3 linked regions of the Tamandua tetradactyla genome follow. The protein of the gene in region 2 purifies or fractionates together with the protein of the main gene of each other region. This does not show direct contact. Links are inferred from orthologs where the notes say so. Each region holds a gene or a part of one and is shown on either strand. Other genes may lie near its edges.

Region 1 (6,929 bases), on a different chromosome or scaffold from region 2:
AAAGGAGATGTTGCCATGTGCACTGCCATGTAAATGAAAAGCCAAGGACCAAGAATCACTGACAGCCAGTCCCAGAATGCCAGTCTTCAGGGAAAAAGCATCGCCTTGCTCGTGCTTTGATTTTGGACTTCTTGTAGGCGCAAAGCCATAAGCCAACAAATCCCTGTTGTTGAAATCAACCCATTGTATGGTATTTATTTTAGCAGCTAGGAAACTATTCACTAAACAATGATTATTCCTTTATTGTAAATGCTCAGCACAAACAGTTAAAGCACTAGGGCAATGTGTGGTTGCTTTAAGCAGTACAGGGATTCCTAATTTACTTTCTGAAATCACAAAGCTATCTATTTTTGCTGCTGATAAACAGCTACATGTACTAGTATAAGCGAAATTTCAGATTTTCTTTACCTTGCCTAGGACAAGATGCAAAAAATGCGAGTCTGTCTATGAGATTCAAATATCAGGTCAATTTATTTTTAAACTTGTGTCTCTATTTTGATGGAGGGGAACTGTGGCACTTTTTTTTTCCTGCCCCGTTATCACTGTGCCTACGATATTCACTTTGCAGAGTTTTTTTGAGGGCCCACTATACACCCTGCAGTATAGATTAGGGGGCAGAACAAGAGGTATACCACAAGTAATTCTAGCTGTGATGGGTACTAAGCCAGGACCCTGGGGCAATGGTAAACCGACTAGCCTCATACCCTGCATCATTTTAGCATCTTGCAGACCCTGGGCTTGCTGACCAAAGGCCTGTTTGTGCAACAGGGTTTGTCTGGTCCATTTCAGACCCATTCTAGGGTGCAATACGGACAGCATGCCAGGTCCTCGTACAGCTGGGTGTGATCTGACTTTCAGCTAAGGAAACAGTGGAAGGTCACGGTGTTTTGGAGGAAGAATGACACGCTGAGAGATAGTTAAAAGGCAATGTAGCTAAGTGCCACAACAGAGACCATACACAATACACTGGGTATTTTAGAATCATAAAGGAGTAGGGGTGTTAGGAAAGGCTTTTTGGAGGAAGTGATACTGAACTGAGTGCCAAATGCAGAAAGGGGGTGAGCTTTCTGCTGTGTTAAAAAAAGGCAAAGAGGTGAGAAATGGTGTGTCACATATGAGGAACCAAGAATAGATTGTTGTTGATAGAACATGAAGTGGTCAAGGTGTAGCTAGAAGGGACCCTGAATTTCGAGGGTACTACAGGGATCAGATTTGTTTTAAGATTACCCTGGTGGGCTATGGTGGCTCAGCAGGCAGAGTTCTTGCCTGCCAAACTGGTGACTGCCCATGCAAAATAAATAAATAAATAAATAAAAAGATTACCCTGAACTGGTTAGTGGAGATGGATTCAATGGGGATGCAGAGGGACATAAATAAGTACGCAAAGACTCCAGGTAAGATAAAGTGGGCCTGTGGTCAGGGTGGTCATTTAGGAGGTGAAACAAGTAGGACCAAGGGACATTCAATGTAGGCTGGGGGGAGAGGATGAGTAAAAGTGAGGAGTCTGAGTCGATGGTGGAGAACTAGCAACCAAAATAAAATAACGCAGGCAGACAAGGGAGAGCTGCAACAACAGAAAATAACAGGTTTTGGAGGGAATAAAATGAGTCAGTTTGGGGCACTCTGAGTCTTAGGTGACTGTTGGAAATCCAGGCAGAGATGTCAGGCTAGTGGGGGTTATCTGAGCTGCAAGTAGGGAAGGTATGGGCTAGAAATTTAGGTTTTGTAACCTCAGGTGTATATAGGATAGCTGAAACCGTAAGAGAAGCTAAGAGAACTGAAGTTAAGAATTTGGTCTTCTTTCCCCTTTCTGTTTATCAGAACTAAAATTCGATTCAATTTTTCCTGAGTAGTCTTCTGTGTTTCTCTTCAAAATAAAAGAAACTAAGAACGTGGTGAAGAGATAGATAATAGCTACTCTTTCAAGCAGATGTTAAAGGCATTAACGTTAGCAGTGATTAAATCAAACTTTATCTTACTATAGCATATTGCACCATGTGCACACCTATATGTTCACTCAAGAACAAGTTCATACACTCTGAGCTCACTCAAGGGTTTACAGGCACATGTTCTATATCTGGTAAATGAAATCCTTCGCTGGCACTCTACTACAGCTAAAATCCAAACTACAAAGCCCTATGCGATCTGCCCTCTGCCTGTGTTTCCAACTTCATTTCAAGACACCCCAGCCTCCTCATTTACAGGTCTAGGGCATGCTAAGTTCTCTCCTGCTTTTCTGCAGGGCTGTCTTCCTCTTGCCTCTGGACCTCACTTGAACATCACCCCAGCGAGGCCCCGAAAACAGCCAATGAAGAAGAGTTGCTTCTCTCCTTTTTTCTCGCTGTTAAGTGATTTTCATTTTCCTCACTACACTTATATAAGCTCTATTGTATTTGTCACCTTCTCTAGCTTTTTTCCTAGGAGTTCTTTGAGGGGAGCTATTCTGTCTGTCTCCTCTCTTGTATTTCCAGCACCTAAACATGTTGACCAAACGCTGGCATGAATCAATCAACGAAGAGCACGCCGAAATAAAAGCGGGTGAATGTAATGACTGAAAGTGCAGGCGTGGGAATGGGAATCAGACGGACCCGGGTTTCATCTCAGCCTCCCCGTTTACTGAATGTGACTTTCAGTAAATCAGTGACCCACTTCCGGCCTGTCTGCTCAGCGGTAACATCAACATAGGACTGGATACAGTAAAAAGGCGGTTACATGGATTGGACACATGGACGCCCACGAAAGAAGTCACGAATCCCTGCTCGAAGCCCCTTTCCCTGCTGGGCTCGGCGTGTCCCCGGCCCTCCCGGCCGCCGCGGCCGGCTCCGGCCCGCCATGTGGCTGAGCGCCGGGGGCCCACCTGTCTTCCTCTGCGTCTTCACGCTGATGTACTGGCGCAGCTTCTTCACCGCCCGCTCCCGGATCCACTTCTCGTTGGACGCCAGCCGCTGCGCGAACTGGATCTCGGCGGGCTGCATCGCAGGGACCATGGCGCCAGCCGGAGCATCCCGGGCAGTCCAGCCCGCGGTCGCTCAGCCTCACGCCGCGGTCGCCGCCAAGCCGGGCCCGCGCCGCGCCTGCGCAGGAGGCGGCGTCAGCGTCAGCGGGCTGATAGCGTCACAAAGGCGCCGGCGGCCTCGTAGGGGGCGTTCCGAAGCCCGCGCTGCTTTGGTCAGGGCCTCCGGCGCGAACCGCCCCTCCTGGGTGCGCCGCGCCGTCGCATCTTCGCGCCTTCGCCGCCTTTCGGTCGCCAAAATTCAGGACCGTTGGCGGCGCGGTAGCCAAGGCTGCGTCTTCGTCAGGAAGAGACGGATGTCAGTTTTCAGTTTCTGGACTCCTTAGGTCCACTTAGCCAACCCCCCACACGCTCAGCACACGACCTACGGGGCACCGTGCAGCCGAGCTCCTAAGTGTAGGGCCTCCGCGCGCGACACTAGGGAGAGGTGAGGGGGGGCACGGCGGCCCGCACTGGGGGTGTCGGCACCAAGCCCGTCCGGGGCAGCCCTTGGAGGACCCTGAGGGCGGGCAGGCCGGTCTGTCGTCCAGCAGTACCGCGGCTACCCGGCCCGAGCAGTGCCCGCACGCCTGTTCTCCCTGCTCGCAAAGGCAGGAATTTCGGGTTTTGTGCAAACGTCTCGACTTGATTCCTGCTCCAGCCAGCCTGGGAAAACGTCCACAGTTAAACGGGACTGTGAACAATGCCTTCTGGCTAGCCTAAGCGAGGGGAGAAAGGGGAATGGTCCTAACCCCGGGAACCTTTCAAAACCACAGGCCAGCTCAAATTTTGCGAGTCCAGGGTGCGCACTGGGGCAGGTCAACGGACGAGGCTATTTGTCCAATTTGACGGTTTTCATCTTTGTTATTTCATTTACTTAGCTGGCTGCAGAACTTCCTATGGTGTGCAGCCCTCCCGAAGGGTCCTAAAGGTGAAACCTTTAATAGGAAAGGGTTGGAGTAGAGCGGGAGGTGCGCAGTTTGCTGCGGTGAGGTTTCCCGGGAAGCAGGCTGCGGGCAGGCAGTTGCCCCTTGATAGCCTTCCGCACTCTGCAGGAAAGGACCGGCTCACTTTAGGTGACTTGATATTTACACCAAAGTCTCACTTTCCTTTTACTCTGCAGTTAGCAACTTCATAGCCCGGGCTAAGCCGGAGAAGCTCACTCCTCTCACTCCTCTCAAATGCGGCGCAGAAGCCACGACATTTGAACCTCACGGCTGTCCGTACCGAGCATCGGCCGCGGCCGCGTTCCCGCGTTTTCCGCGGAAGGCGGCAGACGGCGCCGCGCAGGCGCACTGCGGGGAGGTCGGCGCGGCCATGGGCGAGGCGAGCGGCTCGGAGGAGGCCTGCCGGGTCAGTGACGAGGCCGGGGACCTCTACGGCGCTCGGGAGCCGCTCCGTGGTCGGGGAGGCCTCGGGCCTTCTCCACGGACAGCGGGGGCCGGGCGGGTGCGGGCGGGAACGTGGTGTGGCTGCCGTGAGGTCGAGGTGATGTCTGCCGCTGCTGCGGTGGGGCGGGTGTGGGGAGTTGGAGGGAGCGCGAGAGGCAGAGAGGGTGAGGTGAATGGCCCTCGCAGCGTCTGAAAACCCAGTTTCCATCGGACCAGGACTTGGACGCTGGTTGAAACATGACAGAGTGCTTCCTCCTGTGATGTAGGAGGACGTGCTTGGAGTTTGGATGTCGGGGCTCTGTAAATGCTGGCTTTGACCCCTCGGGTCCCCAGTGTCCCACGCTGGGGAGTCACCTGGCCTTCCATGCCTCGGTGTTCTGCTCTGGAAAGTCCTGAAGGGTTTCACTGAGTATTAAATACGGTGTCCAGCAGAGGGCTTGACAGGTCTAGTAGGAATCCAGCAGAAGTATTTCCCATTTTCTCTTGATTAACCTAGTGCCAAAATGTTACTAGAAAGTTACTGGCATTTTCTTTGGCTTTTAGGAGTAGGACTCTTGTCCTACCCCTCTCTCATATCTGGTTCTCACTTTGAAGATCAGGGCTTCTACCTTCAGCATGTAATATAGCAGAAGGCATATTATAAAGATAAATTTCTGGAACAGTAGCACCAGAGGTATTAAAGAGAAGGAAGTAAGCTGAAGTGGGCCACTAGTTTTAGTCATTTGAAGAGAAATGGTATGATCATAAGATCTGCTTGTTCTTTTAGCACGTGGAAACTAAAGAAGAATTCGTTAAAGTCAGGAAGAAGGACCTGGAACGTCTAACAACTGAAGTGATGCAAATACGGGACTTCTTACCCAGAATACTAAATGGGGAGGTACTGGAAAGCTTCCAGAAATTAAAGATTGTAGAAAAAAGTGAGTCTTTTCTATCTTTAACGATCACCATTGACTCCAACAATGTTTCAGCAGATACAGCGTCCCTCGTTAGAAAGTAATGATACATAATTTTTGAGATACTGTTATAGGTTATATAATTAAATTGGGGATTCAGATAAGACATAAAAAGGGCAGGTGGCCTCGAATGAATTACTTGGACATGGGTGAGTTGGTGTGAGGGTGGCCAGCTCTCTGGAGTATCTCTTACTAGCTTCTCATTCTCTTCCATGGTGGGAGAATTTTATACTTTTGATTATTAAAGAGGTCTGCTCTGAAGATTAAGTCCACGTTTGGGTTAGTGAAGGATCTTGTCATGGTGGAAAGCTTGCCTGGAGCTGAATGTGTCTGCAGAGGTGGCTGAATGTGTGTTCACTTCCCTAGGTTCTTTAGGTTGACAGATGGGTTTGTTTCTAGCACTGCTTTCATTTCAGGTTTGGTGGGACTTATTCATCAGACTTTGGAGATCTGAGCTGAGCCATTGTATCAGACACCAGTGCAGGGGCTGGTTCAGATGCCTGGAGGTCCTCTGGATGGATTCAGCACTTGCCTCATTAAGCTGCATTACCATGAAGTCTGTCTTCAGTGATTAAGGCTAATTGGCCAGACTGTATTTGACAGCCATCGCTGTGAGGCCTTAGAAAGGTACATCCAGGAGGCTGAGGTAGTGTTGCTAGCACTAGTCCAGACAGGAAGTTACGCAGGAAAGTTCTTGGGTCCAGACTCAAGAACGTAAGTTTCTGGTTTGTGTAACTATCTGGTCAATGGGGCAGTCATATCCAGTTAGAAGAGAGACTGTTCACAGTTTCTGTAGTCATGCCCTGTTTATATTCTCTTTGAAGTCCTGGGATCCTTTCTCTCCTTCTCTGCACTGAGGTGTTCTGTGGCTCCCTTACTGCCTGCCAGAGGGCCAGCCAGTGAAACCTATCAGTGAGAGGAGAGAGTGGTGGGGGCATCTCCTCCCCCACACCCTCCCTGCATTGCTGCTCTCCTCTGGCATAGTTTCATCCCTCCTCATCTGTGTCTACCACTCAGTGACCTCCTCTCTTGTCCCAACTCTCGCTGGCCTCCAGGACTGTTTTCTCCCCTTGCTCCTTCAGTTGTGGGGCTGTTTTTACCATCCCTTCTTGGGACTTTTATCTGCTCTCCCTCAGTAAGTTTTTTCATTAAAGTCCCTTGATATCTGGGACTTTAATCTTTCTTTTTTTCTTTGATTTCTCCTTCATGCTGGCACCCTGACTGATGTGCTCTGTCTCACTGGTTTCCACAGCTCCAAGTCCTTGGCTTCTCAGCTGCCTTTGTGCTGTTGCCATGCTTACCACATCAACCATCCGAGCATACCTCTTCAATCCATGTTTGTCTTTGGGAAAGGAAACTGCTGGCCAGTGAGCAGAGTATATCGGCCTGCCGGTTGGTTATATTTCTTACTGTAAATCAATACATTGATATTCTGAAAAATATGTGAGGGTCTCATGTTGGTTATGATGAGTCAGTTTATTGGAGATCAGTCCTTTCCCACGTCAAATTGTGATGCTTGTGAAAGTGAGAACCACAAAGCAATCTCTGGTAACCTGTTCATAGTTAGCTGAGGAGACCTTGGCCGGCTGCCCA
Region 2 (8,061 bases):
TTTTAAGTAGGTTTAGCCTGTCCTCTGCAGGATTAAGCTCATATGATCAAACCCCAAGACTGGGGACTCAGCCTATTGCTTTTGTTGTCCCCACTGCTTGTGAGAATATCAAGAATATTTTTAATAATTGAGGGGAAAAATTAAGATCTTGCTGCAAGTAAAAAATTACTTAACAGAATTTAAATTTATTTTGATTACCAAGTTTTTGAAAGATAAAAGTAGCTTCCAAGTAGGCAGAACTTCACTCATACTATTCAACTCAAGTTAATTAATGGTCTGAACAAAAAGATTTTTATGCAATCAATCAACACCTTTTCTGTAGTTCCACTTAATCATGACTTGGCAAAACCCCTTAGAGGGAAGCTAGTCCTGCCTGCATAACTATACCTCTCCAATTGATTTACTGACTTGCAAATAAGCAGCAGACCAAGGATTGTAAGACTTTCCCTAAGCTTAAACAGATCTACTCATTGCAGAGGAAGCATTCCAACTCAATGCAATTTAATAAACTGAGATAAGTCAGGGTGCCCACCCCAGCCCCCACTCATGAAATGCCGACACATCAAATTCCCACCCCACATATTAAATAGTATTCGTAGGTATTGCTTTGCATTTTGAAACAAAGAAATACATTCTACCCCTTAACAGTGCAACTTTACCTGTTCTAACTCCTTACTTTCTTCACTTCCAGCTTCACTAGACTCAAGTCCAGAATGGGGAAAGCCATTCAGCTTACAGCTTTTCTTTCCAATTTCTCCATTCATTTCTTTATCTTTCTTTATCTTCTTGGGCTTAGGAACACCTATTTCTTCTTCAGAAGGTTCCTCACTCATTTTTTTTACTTTAGGAGAAACAATTTTGTTTTCAGAGGCCTCCTTTTTCTTTTTCCCATTTTTAATTTTAGGAGAAATAATGTCTTTTTCAGATAGCTCCTCTTTCTTCTTTGTTACCTTTGTGGATTTAGGAGAATTCATATCAACGTCAGAAGGTCCTGCCTTTTTAACTTTTTTTGCTTTGGGGGACATAGCCTCCTTTTCTTCTGCTGATCCTTTCGTCTTATCAGATTTTGACTTCTCTTTTTTATCTTTCTAAAAAATAATTTTTAAAAAATACAAAAAAGAAATAAACTAAATACTATAGAAAGTGATCAAGCACAGTTCAAAATTAATACCGATAGGGTTGTATGTACACAAATGGATGCTGTCACACAGATTCCTTCTTTTTGTACCTACTAGAATTCCACCTCAAGCAAAACAAGAATAATATTTGCTTTACCTCTCACACAAGCTCAAATGAATTTACATAGAAACATTTTATGAACCAAAAAGCTATAAAGACCCACAGCCAATGTGTAAAAATGATATACTTTAATTCAACAACAGTAGCAGCAAACCACAGATGCACAAGTTAAAAGGAAATGGAAGGGGTGAAACCACCAAACCAAACCAGACATACGGCTAGAGGTCCTACCTGAAACTTCTGACCCTATTCAACTTTTCAGATTACTGAAAACTTATTACAATTAGTTGGACAGGCTATACCTGTTAGAACCTGGGCAGAGCCCCAAGCAAATCCCTGGAAGTTCAGAAACTATCAGAGTGAAATTTACCTTCCTGAAACGTCAGTTCTCAGTTTTAGAATCACAGACTATGGATAACCTCTCTCCCACGTGACCACCCTTCTAATAAACAGAGGAAAAAGTTGGTCTCTCCCCAAGACTTTGCTCCACTTTTCATTCCCTGGTTCTACCAAATAGATGGGTCTCTTTGGGAAAGTTTAATTATGTTCCTTTTTTTTTTTTTTTTTGGTATGTTGTGGGTGGGGGTCACATTTCATTCTTTTCCATGTGAATATTCCGTTACTGCAGCACCATTTGTTGATTTTTTTTTTTTTTTTTTTTTTTTGGAGTGCCTGGGCCGGGAATCAAAGAGGTTCCTCTTAATCTGAGAATTCCCTAAGCGCACAAACTGATTCAAACAAGTAAACCAGAACCACTACATCCCCATCTGTGGGGACAAATTTGTACTCTGTCTGCTTCCCACAATACCAAATGCTCTCCCATCAGGAAGATACAGAAACAGCTAGGAAAGGAAATTGTAAGTCAAATACAAAGCAAATTCAGGGACAATTGGTGTTTTCACTGACCTCATCTCAGAAGAGAAACTCAAGTGGGTATAGGATTCAGCATCAAAGAAGTACCCGGTTGTCAAGGTAATTCACATACTACTGGCCCATATAAAAAATAGTGTACAGGTAGCACCACAGCCCTTCTCGTCACATTTCCATAGCAAATTAGATCGGTAAATATTAGGAGGAGTTGAATTATTTCTTCTTCAAAGGGCTGCTCACCAGAAGACAAACTACTTCTCTTACTGCAGACGCCGCCAGCATTTGCCCGCCCTCTAAAAATCTCTCCCCACGTGCTCAAATAGGGTTAGTATTTCTTTAGTTAAGACGTCAGTCCCTACTTCCTCTACTGACTTTGATACACCACCGCCCACGCTCACGCCCGTCGTTAAATCTGAGCCGGCAACCTAAGGGCCAAATGTGAATGTCCAACTCTGCGTACCACATGCACGGGGCCCAGACTCCGGAGACCACGTGGGACACCCGATCTGCCGTTCCCCAGATCGGATCTGCCCCGGCCTTGTTGCCAGAGGTCCCAGCGCCTTGCCGAAGAGAGCCAGAGTTCCGAGAGCGACGAACTGCCCTTGGAGACCACCACCCTCGAGAGCCTCTTGGCGAAACTACACGCCCCGTCTCCTCGCCGCGCGCCACGCTCTCCCAGCCCGGGTACCTCCTCTCCCGTACTCCAGGGCCCCGCTCCCCTCAGCATCCCGGTCCCTCTCCCTGCCTCGCCCCCGATCCCTCAGCCCTCCGTGGCACCTTCTCATTTTGCTTTCGTTGTGTCTCCTTTTTTCCCATGGCCGTATTTGATTCCAAGCCGACGTCACTAAGGAGTTTTCCCGGCATCACTCAACAGAACCTGCGTAGACCAGCCAAACTCGGCAACCGCGTGGAGAGGAAAAGATAGAACTGCCTCTTTAGCCCACCCAGTTTTCGTCACTTCCCGTATCAAGACATTTCCGGCGGAAGCAGGACGTACAAAGCAGGCGAGGCCCATGCGTGTCTCAACGCTCCGGCTGCTGACGTAGCCTGTGATTAGCGAATGAACCATTTCCATTTACAGCGCCTGGACTACAAGGCACCTGCCAAAGGGTAGAACTGAAAAGGACCACAAAGGTTAGCTTTGTATTATCGTGCCAGATTCTCGTAAGCCCCAGCCGATAAATGAGTGGCGCCTCTTCGGTGTTTGTATTAGATTGCTCGAGTGTGCAAAGCCCTTTCGCGTACAGACGCGCGAGATGTGTTTTTTTGAACTTCTTATATTTCTACCTGAAAGGTGATGCCCAAACTGACGAGTCTCGGTAAGCACCCGAATTCAGTCGGGTCCGGTTGTTCATGTGTGTGCTCATATATTCAGCGCACAATCTCTGAGTATTCACTTTGCGTCGGAGAACAGTGCTAGGATTCGGTAGGAGATATTACACTAACCTTTTCTTGGGGAAGCTTTATAGACTGGTGGGAGAGAGGACGAGTGGCATTTGTTCTGAAGGTACAAAAAGGCACCTAAACTGGGCTTGGGAACACTAGATGGGGCACCCAAATCACGTAGGCCTACATCAGAAAATAATAGGGACTCCCTGTCTTGCATGATCTCGACAAGATATAATCCAAGCAGTTGAGAAAAAGTGGCCCATCCGTGACGGTCACTTAAACTTTATCTGAAGAACTGGTGATACAAAGAATTGGAAGAAAATGCATCATGGTCTTTTAAGAGAATGTGATGGAATTCTACAAGAAAGGCTTTGAAACCTGCCGATTCCATTAAAAATAGCTCGGTGATTTTGGACACGTTACAGAATATGAGCCTGAGTTTCTCATGATATAGAGATAACAAACCTAACTCATTTGTTGAGAAAATTTAATGTCATGAATGTAAAGGGTTTGGCGTTACCTAGCACATAAGGCACAATAAAAGAAATTTGCAACTCACTGATGTGTCACAAGTGTTTGGACAATTAAAAATACTGCCTTTTATGACAAAGGAAAAAATAAAGTTTTATCTCTATATTTCATGAGATTAATTTTTACTGTACATTTTATTTTTGTGATTTTTTTTTTTTTTGCATGGGTGGCCACAGGGAATTGAACCCCGGGTCTTTGGCATGGCAGGTGAGAACTCCGCCTGCTGAGCCACCATGGCCCACCCTGGACATTTTTAAACTAATAGTTTTATGGAAAACTTATGGAAATTTTTCATATTTAAGCTATTACTGTTCTGTGTTTCACAGTCTCATTCTTTTTAAAAGATAAAGTTATGTACATGTGCAACAATGCTTTAACTTACACTTTGTGATATCCTTGAGCCAGGAGCCTTCATTTATTTATCCATCTTTGTATCCTCAGTATTTCAGCCTGGCACATAAATAGGAGGCTGTCACGCAAATGTTTGTTTATCATTCAAATAGCAATCATGAAAAGCAAAAACACCCTCAAAATAAATTTTAGATATAAGTCCAGGCAGGAGAGCATGTCAGTCATTCTGATTGTTGTGTGTGATAGAAGGGGAAGGAAGCATGAATGGATTCCACCAATCAACTAACTAACAAAATGCTTTTCATCTGGAATTTCAGCACATACTGTGGACTCTGGGTTATAGATGTTAAGACCGTGTCCCTACTTCAGGGAATCTGCAATTTGGTTGAGAAACCACAAAACCATGTGATACTGCTGTTCATGATACTGCTGAAACTGTATAAGGACATGTTTATTATTAACACATTTTCAATAGGAGGAAAAAACCCAGAACAAACTACTAAATGGAAAACTGTTGTCAGGTTTATAAAATATCCTTTGTAACGAACGTATCTGCACACAGGCAGAGCCCAGCATTCCAAGAGGAAACACACAAAAAAGTCCCTTTTGGCTCAAAGATGGCCAAATAATTATACTGAAATCAAGTCATCAGTATAAAATCCGTAATAAGTGGAAAAAATTGGGCCTTGATAGGTATTGTGAAGTCCTGTTTAAGTATCAACTCTCTGGACCAGTTTCCTCTGATCTCCATGAGGTAACATGTTTTCATAAGATTAGGGAGAGAATTTCTATTTTAAAATGTACATATACATACATAAATGCACACCGAAGGAATTCAAAAGTCTATGCAACAAAATGTTAGCACTACTTTTCTCTGAGGGATGTTAATTATGAGTGTTTTATTTTCTTCCATTTGTTTCTCTTTTTTCAAATTTTCAACAATGGACATGTATTACTAATAAGGAAAAAAATATGGTAAAAAAAAAAAAAAAAAACTATTAAGCAGCTTCTCCCAACCCCAAATATGTAAAAAACAGAAAAGGCTGACAGTTACACCTAAATGTGAATTCATTATTCAAACTTGTAATGCTGAAGGAATAAAACATATTATTTCATTTACAAATTCAAAAACCAAAGCTGTGGGTAACTGATTCAAGTTCAAGTAGTTAACTAACCACACTAGAGCACAGCACCACACTGGAGACTCTGAATAGCTAAAAGGGAAAGCCATGAAGGCGCTGGGCTCGAAGAGGGAGAAGTAGAGTAAGGATAAATCACTGAGTAACCCAAGGCTAAGAATTTCATGAGAACTTGCCCTGCCTTTTCAGAAATATGGGAAGCTATTATTTAATCTTATTAGGATCCACCCCACTTCCTTGCCTGAGAGTAGGCTAATAAAGAAGTCAGCCTTAAGACCACCCTCTACCTTGCTGTCATTTATCTTAATGCTTACTAATTTTTTAATCTCTTCCCTAAAAGCCTCCAGTGGCTCTTCAAAACAAGGCCTGCAAAATGCCCCAAGATATGACTCTAGCCTTGTTCTCACCAATGCTTTCCTAACAGTGAAGATCTCAGCAGCAAGAACTACTCATGGTTCCCCATACTTAGACTTTATTGTTTTATTAGCTTTTCTTTGCCTTTGCCTGGATGCCCATCCCCACATCCCTGTTTCTTTTACCTGACTTCATTCATATTCAGTCATTATATCCAAAAAGCTTCCTCTGAACCCCCAACCCCATTGCTGGGCTGGGCTCAGTGCCCTTGCACAGAGCACTTAACTACACTTAGTTCACTGTTGTTTACCTAGGCTTATGTGTCCATCTATTTCACAAGATTCTGAGCTCCTGAGGATAGAGACCTGGCTTTCCTTGGGCCCAAAGTATAGTGTCTGGGATATTGTAGGTGCCTAACATATTCTGACTGAATGTACTGGTACTCATTCACCTTTATAGGAACTGAACCTCTAATTTATCTTGGATATAAATTCAGAGTTCACAACTACTCAAATGCAGAGCCAACTGAGATCTTCCCATCAGTCATGGTCATCTGGAACTCTATTCCTCATAATCAAAACTTCCTTCCTCAATCCATCACACAAAGTTCTTCAACTCTCCTTGCTTTAACTGAAATCTGGCTCTTCCTGGAAAATACTACCCCCCCCCCACACCCACTGCAGGATGGGCAAACTGGGCTCAGTGGTGGAGTTCTTGCCTGCCATGCCAGAGACCTGGGTTCAATTCCCGGTGCCTCCCCATGTTAAGGGGAAAAAAAAAAAAACTGTTCCCTGCAGTTTTCTCACACAAAAGTTGCTGGTTCCTTTGCATACCATGAACCTTCAAGTCAGTGTCCTCTTTTCCTCAAAGCCATTTCTAGATTACTCCTTCACTTTCATGTAAAAGCCCTTGCTTCTCTGAAGATACGTGGTAATATCCTATAATCTTCCTCATTCTAGCAATTTACCAACCTCCACACCATCAATAGTTTGGTACCTGGCTCTTCCTCTCCCTCCTCAGGCCTGGCTTTCAAACTAAGAGACATCACTGTTTGGGAAAACCACACATATAAAACCTGCTTCTCAGTTCCTTGACTGCCTGAACTCATCAAGCCTACTAATTATACTCTTGTTGTCTTATACCAAATTGTTCCACTCTTGAAACAGCTTCAGTCCCTTGCCCCCTCTACATTCTCGCTGTGATCAACCCTATCTCCACTTCAACCCTTAGGCAGTCTACATTCCATAGACTAACACTTCAGTCACTTTTTTGTCAAAGTGCTAAACATCTTCACCTTATCCTTTTATCTCATTCACAAAGCAAAATCCCAATCCTCGATCAGTCAACTGTCTCCCTTCTCCATTCCTACAACCAGAATGCTGAAGATTGTTGTAGAAAATTACTCGTTCGCTCTGATTGGTGCCAGTACAAGTCCAGTCTAACCTCAACTGGATCCTCAAGACTGCCTGTGACACGTTTGCTTAGTAAGCTCTCCATCTTGTTCTACAATTGATATTTCAGCATTTCTTCACTCTCCTCAAATGTCCTAGCCTACTACCTCCCTCTGCATCCTCCAATTGCCTACTCTATCTCCTCTACTTACATATCCTAGAGCCTGTTCAAGGTCTAACCCTGAACTAATAATTTCCATCCCCTCCCCACAGAACTTCTTGTGCTCTTCCCTCTGAGTACCCTATGTCAGTGACAAAAATCTAGTTTCATTCTTCGGCCTCTCTCTCATCTACCAAACCAATCACCAAGTCCTGATAATTCTATCTCCTAAAAATCTCTGATATCTGTGTTCCTCAACATCTACTGCCACTGTTTAACACAGTTTCAGTTCAGAGCTAGATTTAACTGGGTTCAAATCCTCACTCTACTATATATTAGCCAGCTGTGTGATTTTGGACAAGTAGCCTCTCAAGTGCCTTAGTTCTCATCACTCAAAATAAGCTATCCACCATGAATTCATACCTTCATCATCTTGACCTTGCATTACTTCAACAGACGCGGAAGAGTTTCTTGGCCTCCAATCTCCTCAGTGTAGCTAGTAATCTTTCTAAAATATGAATCTATTCATATTACTCCTTACTTTAAACCCTTCAGTGACCCCACTGTCCTCAAGAGAAAATTTAAACTCTTTAACATGACACACAGACCTTTAAAATCTGGTCCCTATTTAATAACA
Region 3 (7,008 bases), on a different chromosome or scaffold from region 2:
TTTCCCTATGATGGAGGGTAAAAGCCGCCTAATTCTTGCATCAGTAAGGAAGAAGTCAAAACTACCCAAGAGACGGAGCTTGGCTTCATACGGTTTATATTCCTTTTTTAAAGTTCGGAGGGGGATAATCTAGAAAACACAGGAGTAAAATATAAAAAATTAAGACCCTGTACAACAAGAACAATATTTAGGCAATAATTTGTACTCTATTCAGATTTTAAAATGTCCTCAAGCTACACCTAACCTACCTAAGTAAACACTTCAGTGCCAAATACGTGCCAGGCTAAATGCTGAGGATGCTGAGACAAGTAAGATGGGATCCCATCTGAAGAAACTTACATCTGATGAGTGATAAAGACAAGTAAATCAACAACTACAAACAAGATGCTAAGTGCCAAATCAGAAGCAAATACAGGATGCTCTGAAGAATAACATATTTGTGTAATCTACAAAACATAAAGGTTACTGATGTATACATTCAACTTTGAGGTCAACAAATCTCGACAGCCCCCTCCATCTTAAGGAAGATAGAATGCCACTTACCTAAAACCACCAAAATTAAATTAAAAAGAGAAAAACGGAAAAAATACTAGGAAATATACAATGCATCATTTATCACTTCAACTGAATTAAATACTTTGTCTGGAAAATATTAACCTGCTCCCTACCTGAGAAATTGTTTCAATTTTATGCTTGTTCAAAAGACTCCTGTAGAAATGTTCTGTCTTTTCAGGAGTTAAATTGGGCTCATCCTTGGTGAATAAACAGACTTCTGCTAAATCTGACCGAATACTGTAAGGCAAAGACCTGCAAAACACATGAGAAGGAGCCAAGGAATAAAACATTATTACAGACAATATGTATCTTTATATTCTGCAAAATACACAATAAATTTACTGTCATTTCAATACTTTCATTTGTGCTATTTAAGAAAATACTGTACTAAATACAATATTTAAATATATATTCAGCTTTCCATGATACAGAGAAGAGATTTAAGATTTAAAGACATCACCACAACTACCAAAAGGTCCAAAACTGAATAAGCACTCGGGATAGAAGATTTAAAATCTAAACAGACACCCAAATTACTGCATGTGCAATTAATGTGTTCTCTCTATATACATGTATTTGAAATTCTTAGCTATACAGACAATTTAACTCAACAGTCAAAACAGAAAACATGGAACAAACCAAAAGTAACCAACAAACGTGTTGAATATTGCGTTGCGTCTTAAAAAATAATAATAAAAACAGGATTAAGGCACTGCCTAGGCCTACATGTTTGAGGAAACATTTCCTTAGTTTAACAAGAGATAGCAATACAAGGGCATGACATGTCAAATGAGAGAAAAAGTGCATAATGCAAAGCTGGCATGTGGCACTTAGAAATCACCAAGAGGTTGGGAAAATATCTTAGAGGAGGTGAGAAGGCTTTCCAGAAGCTTCAGCAAAGCTGTGGAATAAAGAATCCACATGGAATTCATAAAGCAATAAATAAGGTAATCTGGTTAGACAGAATTTGAGAAATTCACCTCCCTTCTTCATGGGAAAAACAAAAGAAGTTATCCTAACCACATCTTTCTTAAGCAAAGCTGACTTTGTTGCCTATTAGAATATAGGACACTCAGTTGAATCTGAATTTCATTATCAATATGGAATAATTTCTTAGTGTAAGTATGTTCCAGGTATTGCATGGGACATACTAATACTAAAAGAATTATTCGTTATTTTATTTGCTAAATTTGGCAAATACAGAGAGGGCATCTCTGACCTAAGACTACTGGCAATAAGAATGTATAATCACAATGGCTTTTCTGTATAAAAGACAAGTCCCAGAACCTCAGTTATTTTAGCCCGGAAATAGCTTGACATGAAAATATAATATGTTCTGCTAAAACACAAAAGCTGCTTAATTTAATCTTTATCTCAAAAACTAGTTCAATAGAATCCATAGCCCCCAGAAAACTGGGAATATTTCTAGGAAATTATAGTACGTCTGAATTTCTATAGTTCTTTTAGGCACGTTTACTTATTTTATATAAGATTTTCACTTTGAATTTGCAAAATTTCCACTAGAAACAAACTTGGGATTGTTGAAATTATTACATACAATGACCAAACAGATAAAAAAGAGCAAACGTCGCAGTATTTTCTACCTGATTTTTCTGTAAATGTATTATCTTCTCTAATTAAAAAAAAAGCAAACATAGAAAATCAAAACTTACAATCTGACCCTCAGTTCTTTACTTGGAATTTTCCATAATACCACCATTAAGAAGACACTTTCTTTCTCATTCAAAAGCAAGTCGTTAGCGTTTTTCCTGGACTTGGAATTTTCTAACAGAGCTCTCACCGCCTTTTTAATCTGCAAAGTGGAGATACAAAAAAAAAAAGAGTTGATCTCAATCTAATTTAGTATTTGCCCCTCCTCTTTTTTTTTTTCCAACTAATAATTACTGAGAGCTAACGACCAGCCAGACCCCTGGACAAAGCGCTTTACAATACACTGCCATCTATGATCCCGGACAGGAGAGGGCGGAAGAACCCATTTAAAAAAAGGGCTAAGAGGTTTGCACAATTAAATGACCTGGCAAGATAAACGGTTGGAAAGGAAAGCCAGGTGTCTCTTCAAACCCCAATTACACTTGCAATCCAAGAAAAGGGGGCCAAGCCGCAGGACTGTGGGAAGCAGGCGGATAAAAACACGGAGCAAGCGACCCCTCCAAAGCGCCGGGGCCATCCGAGGCGCGGAGCCCGCAAGCAGGCCCCCGGGTCCTGACCGGGTACCCCCACAGGATACAGGCCAATAGACACCACGCTTCAGAATGGTCCACTCCAGGGGCCACTCACCTGCATTTTCTTCACCAGCGACTCCCGCTTGGGTTCGGTAGGGCTCTCTGGAGTCGAGGCTGAGCCTGGGGTCGAAGATACGTCCTCCATGGCCCTTTCGCCTCGTGCAAACGTGCGCAGGGATTCACCGAGCTGCTTCTCCCTCACACACGCGAGCCTAGGCCTGAAGCCGGAAGTGGAAGGGCGGCACCCGAGCCCATGCGTCATTTCCGGGAGCGCGCGGGATTTGGTTTGGGCGCCGCCGGGCGGGAGCGAGTTGAGTGAGCTGCACGCTCTGCCTGCGGGCTGAGGGGCTTACTCGAGGCCCTCACCTCTCCTGTCCTATTCCGGTTTCCTGGAGGCCCGGGTAGGCGTGCCGCCACCTTCTTCCCATTCTTACACGAAAAAAGGTCGAGAAACCGCCTTGAAGCAGGAGAGGAGCCCTGTCCATCGCTCCCGTGGGTCACCAGTTCTGCCTGGACGCCGCCTTTGGGAAGGCCGCGGGCGACTGCGGGACGGGCGCGGGCTCCGGAATCACGCACGCCTGCCCTGGAATCCCTGTCCACCACCCACCTGCTCTGGGACCTTGGGCGAACCGCTTAGACTTCCGAGCCACACTCCTCAAACGTGAGAATGACGGCAATGTGCCTCCTTACCGGAGGGCGAAGATCCAGTGAAGTAATAATGCATGGGAAGTACGAGACGCGTCGTGGAGCGGTGTGAGGGATCGAAAGATGACCCAGACCGGTATCTTAAGAGCTTCCGGTCTCACTGAGAGGCGGGAGGTAAGATCGTATAGAATAAATGTGGAGGCTGGATAACGGATAGGATGGAATACAGTAGAAAGTCTGCCTCCAGCCCCATGTCCCCAGAGGTAACCATTGTTACCAGTGGCCCCTGTAACCTTCCAGAGATGTCCTAGACGTGTTTAGGCAGTAGTTGTATTTTATTATTTTCTTTATGGATATGATTGGGGTTAAATTTAGTCTTTTATTCTTCTACACAAATAGAGGCGTAGTATACCCACAGCTCTGCTCCTTGGCTTTTCCTCTTTTCTTTCTCTTTCTCTCTCATTATGTTTCTTTGAATTATATTTATTACAGAATTATGAATTGTTAAGTTTGATGTATCAATATCATTTAGTATTCTGAAAAGAGCATTGGGGATGTCAGGTGTTCTGTCATCTGAACAAGTGTAAGAACTAGCCTTTTCTATTTTCTAGGCCAAGAAGACTGCACGGATTCAGGTGAAAAAGCATGGTGGTGTTTGGAAGTAGTAAGTGGCTGGAGTAGGGATGTGCAGCAGAGAGGACTGGGAGATGAGGTTAGAATACTGGCAAATTGACAAACCTTTAGCTATACTGACAAAGAAAAAAAGAGGATACAAATGACTAAAGTCTGAAATAAAAAGGGGGCCATTATTACCAATCTCATTGAAATAAAAAGGACTATAAGACAGTACTGTGAACCACTGTATGCCGACAAATTAGATAGCCTAGTTGAAACGGACAAATTGCTGGAAACACGCCAGCTACCTTCACTGACTCAGGAAGAAATAGAAAGTCTAAACAAATCAATAACTAATAAAGAGATTGAATCAGTAATAAAGAAAAGCCTAGGATCAGACTGCTTCACAGGGGAATACTATCCACATTCCAAGAATTGACCCCAATTTTGCTTGAACCCTTCCAAAAAACTGAATAGGAAGAAACACTCCCTAAAGCATTCAACCAGGCCAAAATCATTCTCATACCAAAGCCAGATGAAGATACCAAAAAAAAAAAAGGAAATTTATAGACCAATATCTCATAGAGGTGCAAAAATCCTCAATGAAATACTAGCAAACTGAATCCAACAGTCCATTAAAAGCATATAAAATGGATCAAGTGGAATTTATCCTAGGTATTCAAGAGTGGTTCAAAATAAAAAAATTTATTAATGTAATACACCACACTAACAGAATGAAGGGGGGAAAAAACATGATCATGATCATCTCAGTTGATGCAGAAAAGGTATTTCACAAAATCTAGCACCTTGAATTGTAACCCATACCAAATTTTGAAATCTCTTCTACGACTAATTGTTGTGATGTGCTTTGAAATTAATTGCTGTTTCTGTATGTTATTTTTCACAAAAAAGAAAAAATTGATTGTGATAAAAAAATCACAGTGAGGTACCACTTCACGCCCACTAGAATGGCTACTATGAAAAAAAATAAAAGGCATCCCTCCCTTGGGCATGTCCACATTAACCTCTCCAATATGTATTCTCTCTCCTTCTTTTTAATAAACTTAACTATTTATTGCTTTAAAAAAAAAATCTGGCACCCCTTTTTTTTTTTTTGACTGGTAACATTGGTTAATGTTTTTTTTAATTTTTTAAAAATTTATGATACATAACCACATACAAACAAACATTCTTACCATATGATCATTCCATTCTTGTTGTATAATCAGTAACTCACAATATCATCACATAGTTGCATATTCATCATCATGATGAATTTCTTAGAACATTTGCATCAATTCAGAAAAAGAAATAAAACGAAAACAGAAAAAAAATTCATACATTCCATACCCCTTACCCCTCTCAGTAATTCCTAGCATTTCAATTTACTAAATTTATTTTAACATTTAGCATTTCAGTCTACTAAATACTTGTTATTTATTTATTTTTAATCCATGTGTTTTACTCATCTGTCTGTACCATAGATAAAAGGAGCATCAGACACGAGGTTTTCATAATTACACAGTCACGTTGTAAAAGCTATATCATTCTGCAATCATCTTCAAGAAACATGGCTACTGAAAACAGCTCTACATTTTCAGACAGTTCCCTCCAGCCTCTCTGTTGCATCCTAACTAAAAAGGTGGTATCTGTATGATGCGTAAGAATAATCTCCAGGATAACCTCTCCACTATGTTCGAAATCTCTCAGCCACTGACACTTTATTTTGTCTCATTTGTCTCTTCCCCCTTTCGGTCGAGAAATTTCTCAATCCCTTGGTGCTGAGTCCCAGCTCATTCTAGGATTTCTGTCCCATGTGGCACCCTTTCTTGATAAAAACACTTGGAAAACTAGGAATAGAAGGAAACCTCCTCACCATGATAAAGGGCATCTATGAAAACCCAGTTATATCAGGCTTAATGGGGAAAGACTGAAAGCTTTTCTCCTAAGATCACAAACAAGACAAGGACCTGTCCCCTGTCACCACTGTTATTCCACATTGTGCTAGAAATTCTAGCCAGAGCAATAAGGCAAGAAAAAAATTAAAAAACATCCAAATTGAGAAGTACAATTTTCTGTATTTGCAGATGACATAATCCTATACAGAAAATCCACAATAAAGCTTCTAGGATTAGTTAATTAATCCAGCAAAGTGGCAGGGTACAAGAACAACACCCCAAAATTAATAGCATTTCTTTACACTAGCCATGAACAATCAGAAGAAGAAATCAAGAAAAAAATTTCATTCACAATAGCAAATAAAATAATCAAATATCTAGGAATAAATTTAACCAAGGATATAAAGGACATATACGCAGGAAATTTTAACATTGCTTAAAAAAGAAAACCTAAGTAAATGGATTGGGAGACTAAATATTGCTAAGGTGTCAATTCTGCCCAATGATTTACAAATTCAAAGCAGTCTCAGTCAAAATTCCAACAGCTTACTTTACAGAAACAGAAAAATCATCTAATTTATTTGGAAGGATAAGGGACCCTAAATAGCTAAAAACATCATGAGAGAAGAACAAAATTGAGGAATCATGCTCCCTAACTTTAAAACATATTACAGAGCTCAAAACAGCATGGTGCTGAAATAAAGATATACTGACTAATGAAATTGAATTGAGAGTTCAGAAATAGACCCATCTATGGTCAATTAATTTTGACAAGGCTGCCAAATCCTCTGAATTGGGACAGAAAGTCTCTTTAACAAATGGTGCTGGGAGAACTCAATATCCATATGGGAAGGAATAAAAAAGGACCCCTATCTCACACCTTATACAAAAGTTAACTAAAAATGGATGAAAGACCTAAATATAAGAGCCAGAAGCATAAAACTAGAAGAAAATGTAGGGAAGCATCTTTAAGATCTTGTGGTGTGTGGTGGTTTCCTAGTCCTTATGCCCAAAGCGCAAGCAGCTAAATTAAAAATAGACAAATGGGACCA

What was found.
Region 1: the proteins of DDX21 (region 2) and RRP1B purify together in Homo sapiens (affinity purification with mass spectrometry; 3 studies listed by BioGRID and IntAct, with this or other methods). This does not show direct contact. The link is inferred for Tamandua tetradactyla from reciprocal best matches to the Homo sapiens genes DDX21 and RRP1B.
Region 3: the proteins of DDX21 (region 2) and RSL1D1 purify together in Homo sapiens (affinity purification with mass spectrometry; 3 studies listed by BioGRID and IntAct, with this or other methods). This does not show direct contact. The link is inferred for Tamandua tetradactyla from reciprocal best matches to the Homo sapiens genes DDX21 and RSL1D1.

What each region holds. Positions count from the first base shown.
Region 1 is NC_135336.1:101,251,938-101,258,866, reverse strand, and holds the start of RRP1B (ribosomal RNA processing protein 1 homolog B), read right to left. Parts: upstream 3,063-6,929; 5' UTR 2,988-3,062; coding exon 2,858-2,987; intron 1-2,857. Other genes in the region: HSF2BP (heat shock factor 2-binding protein), read left to right, coding at 4,310-4,345, 5,150-5,300. UniProt on the Homo sapiens protein: Positively regulates DNA damage-induced apoptosis by acting as a transcriptional coactivator of proapoptotic target genes of the transcriptional activator E2F1.
Region 2 is NC_135339.1:28,236,644-28,244,704, forward strand, and holds the start of DDX21 (nucleolar RNA helicase 2), read right to left. Parts: upstream 3,082-8,061; 5' UTR 2,974-3,081; coding exon 2,887-2,973; exon of another isoform or gene 2,480-2,886; intron 1,089-2,479; coding exon 660-1,088; intron 1-659.
Region 3 is NC_135349.1:45,367,419-45,374,426, reverse strand, and holds the start of RSL1D1 (ribosomal L1 domain-containing protein 1), read right to left. Parts: upstream 3,076-7,008; 5' UTR 3,061-3,075; coding exon 2,854-3,060; intron 2,369-2,853; coding exon 2,229-2,368; intron 808-2,228; coding exon 669-807; intron 130-668; coding exon 1-129. UniProt on the Homo sapiens protein: Regulates cellular senescence through inhibition of PTEN translation. Acts as a pro-apoptotic regulator in response to DNA damage.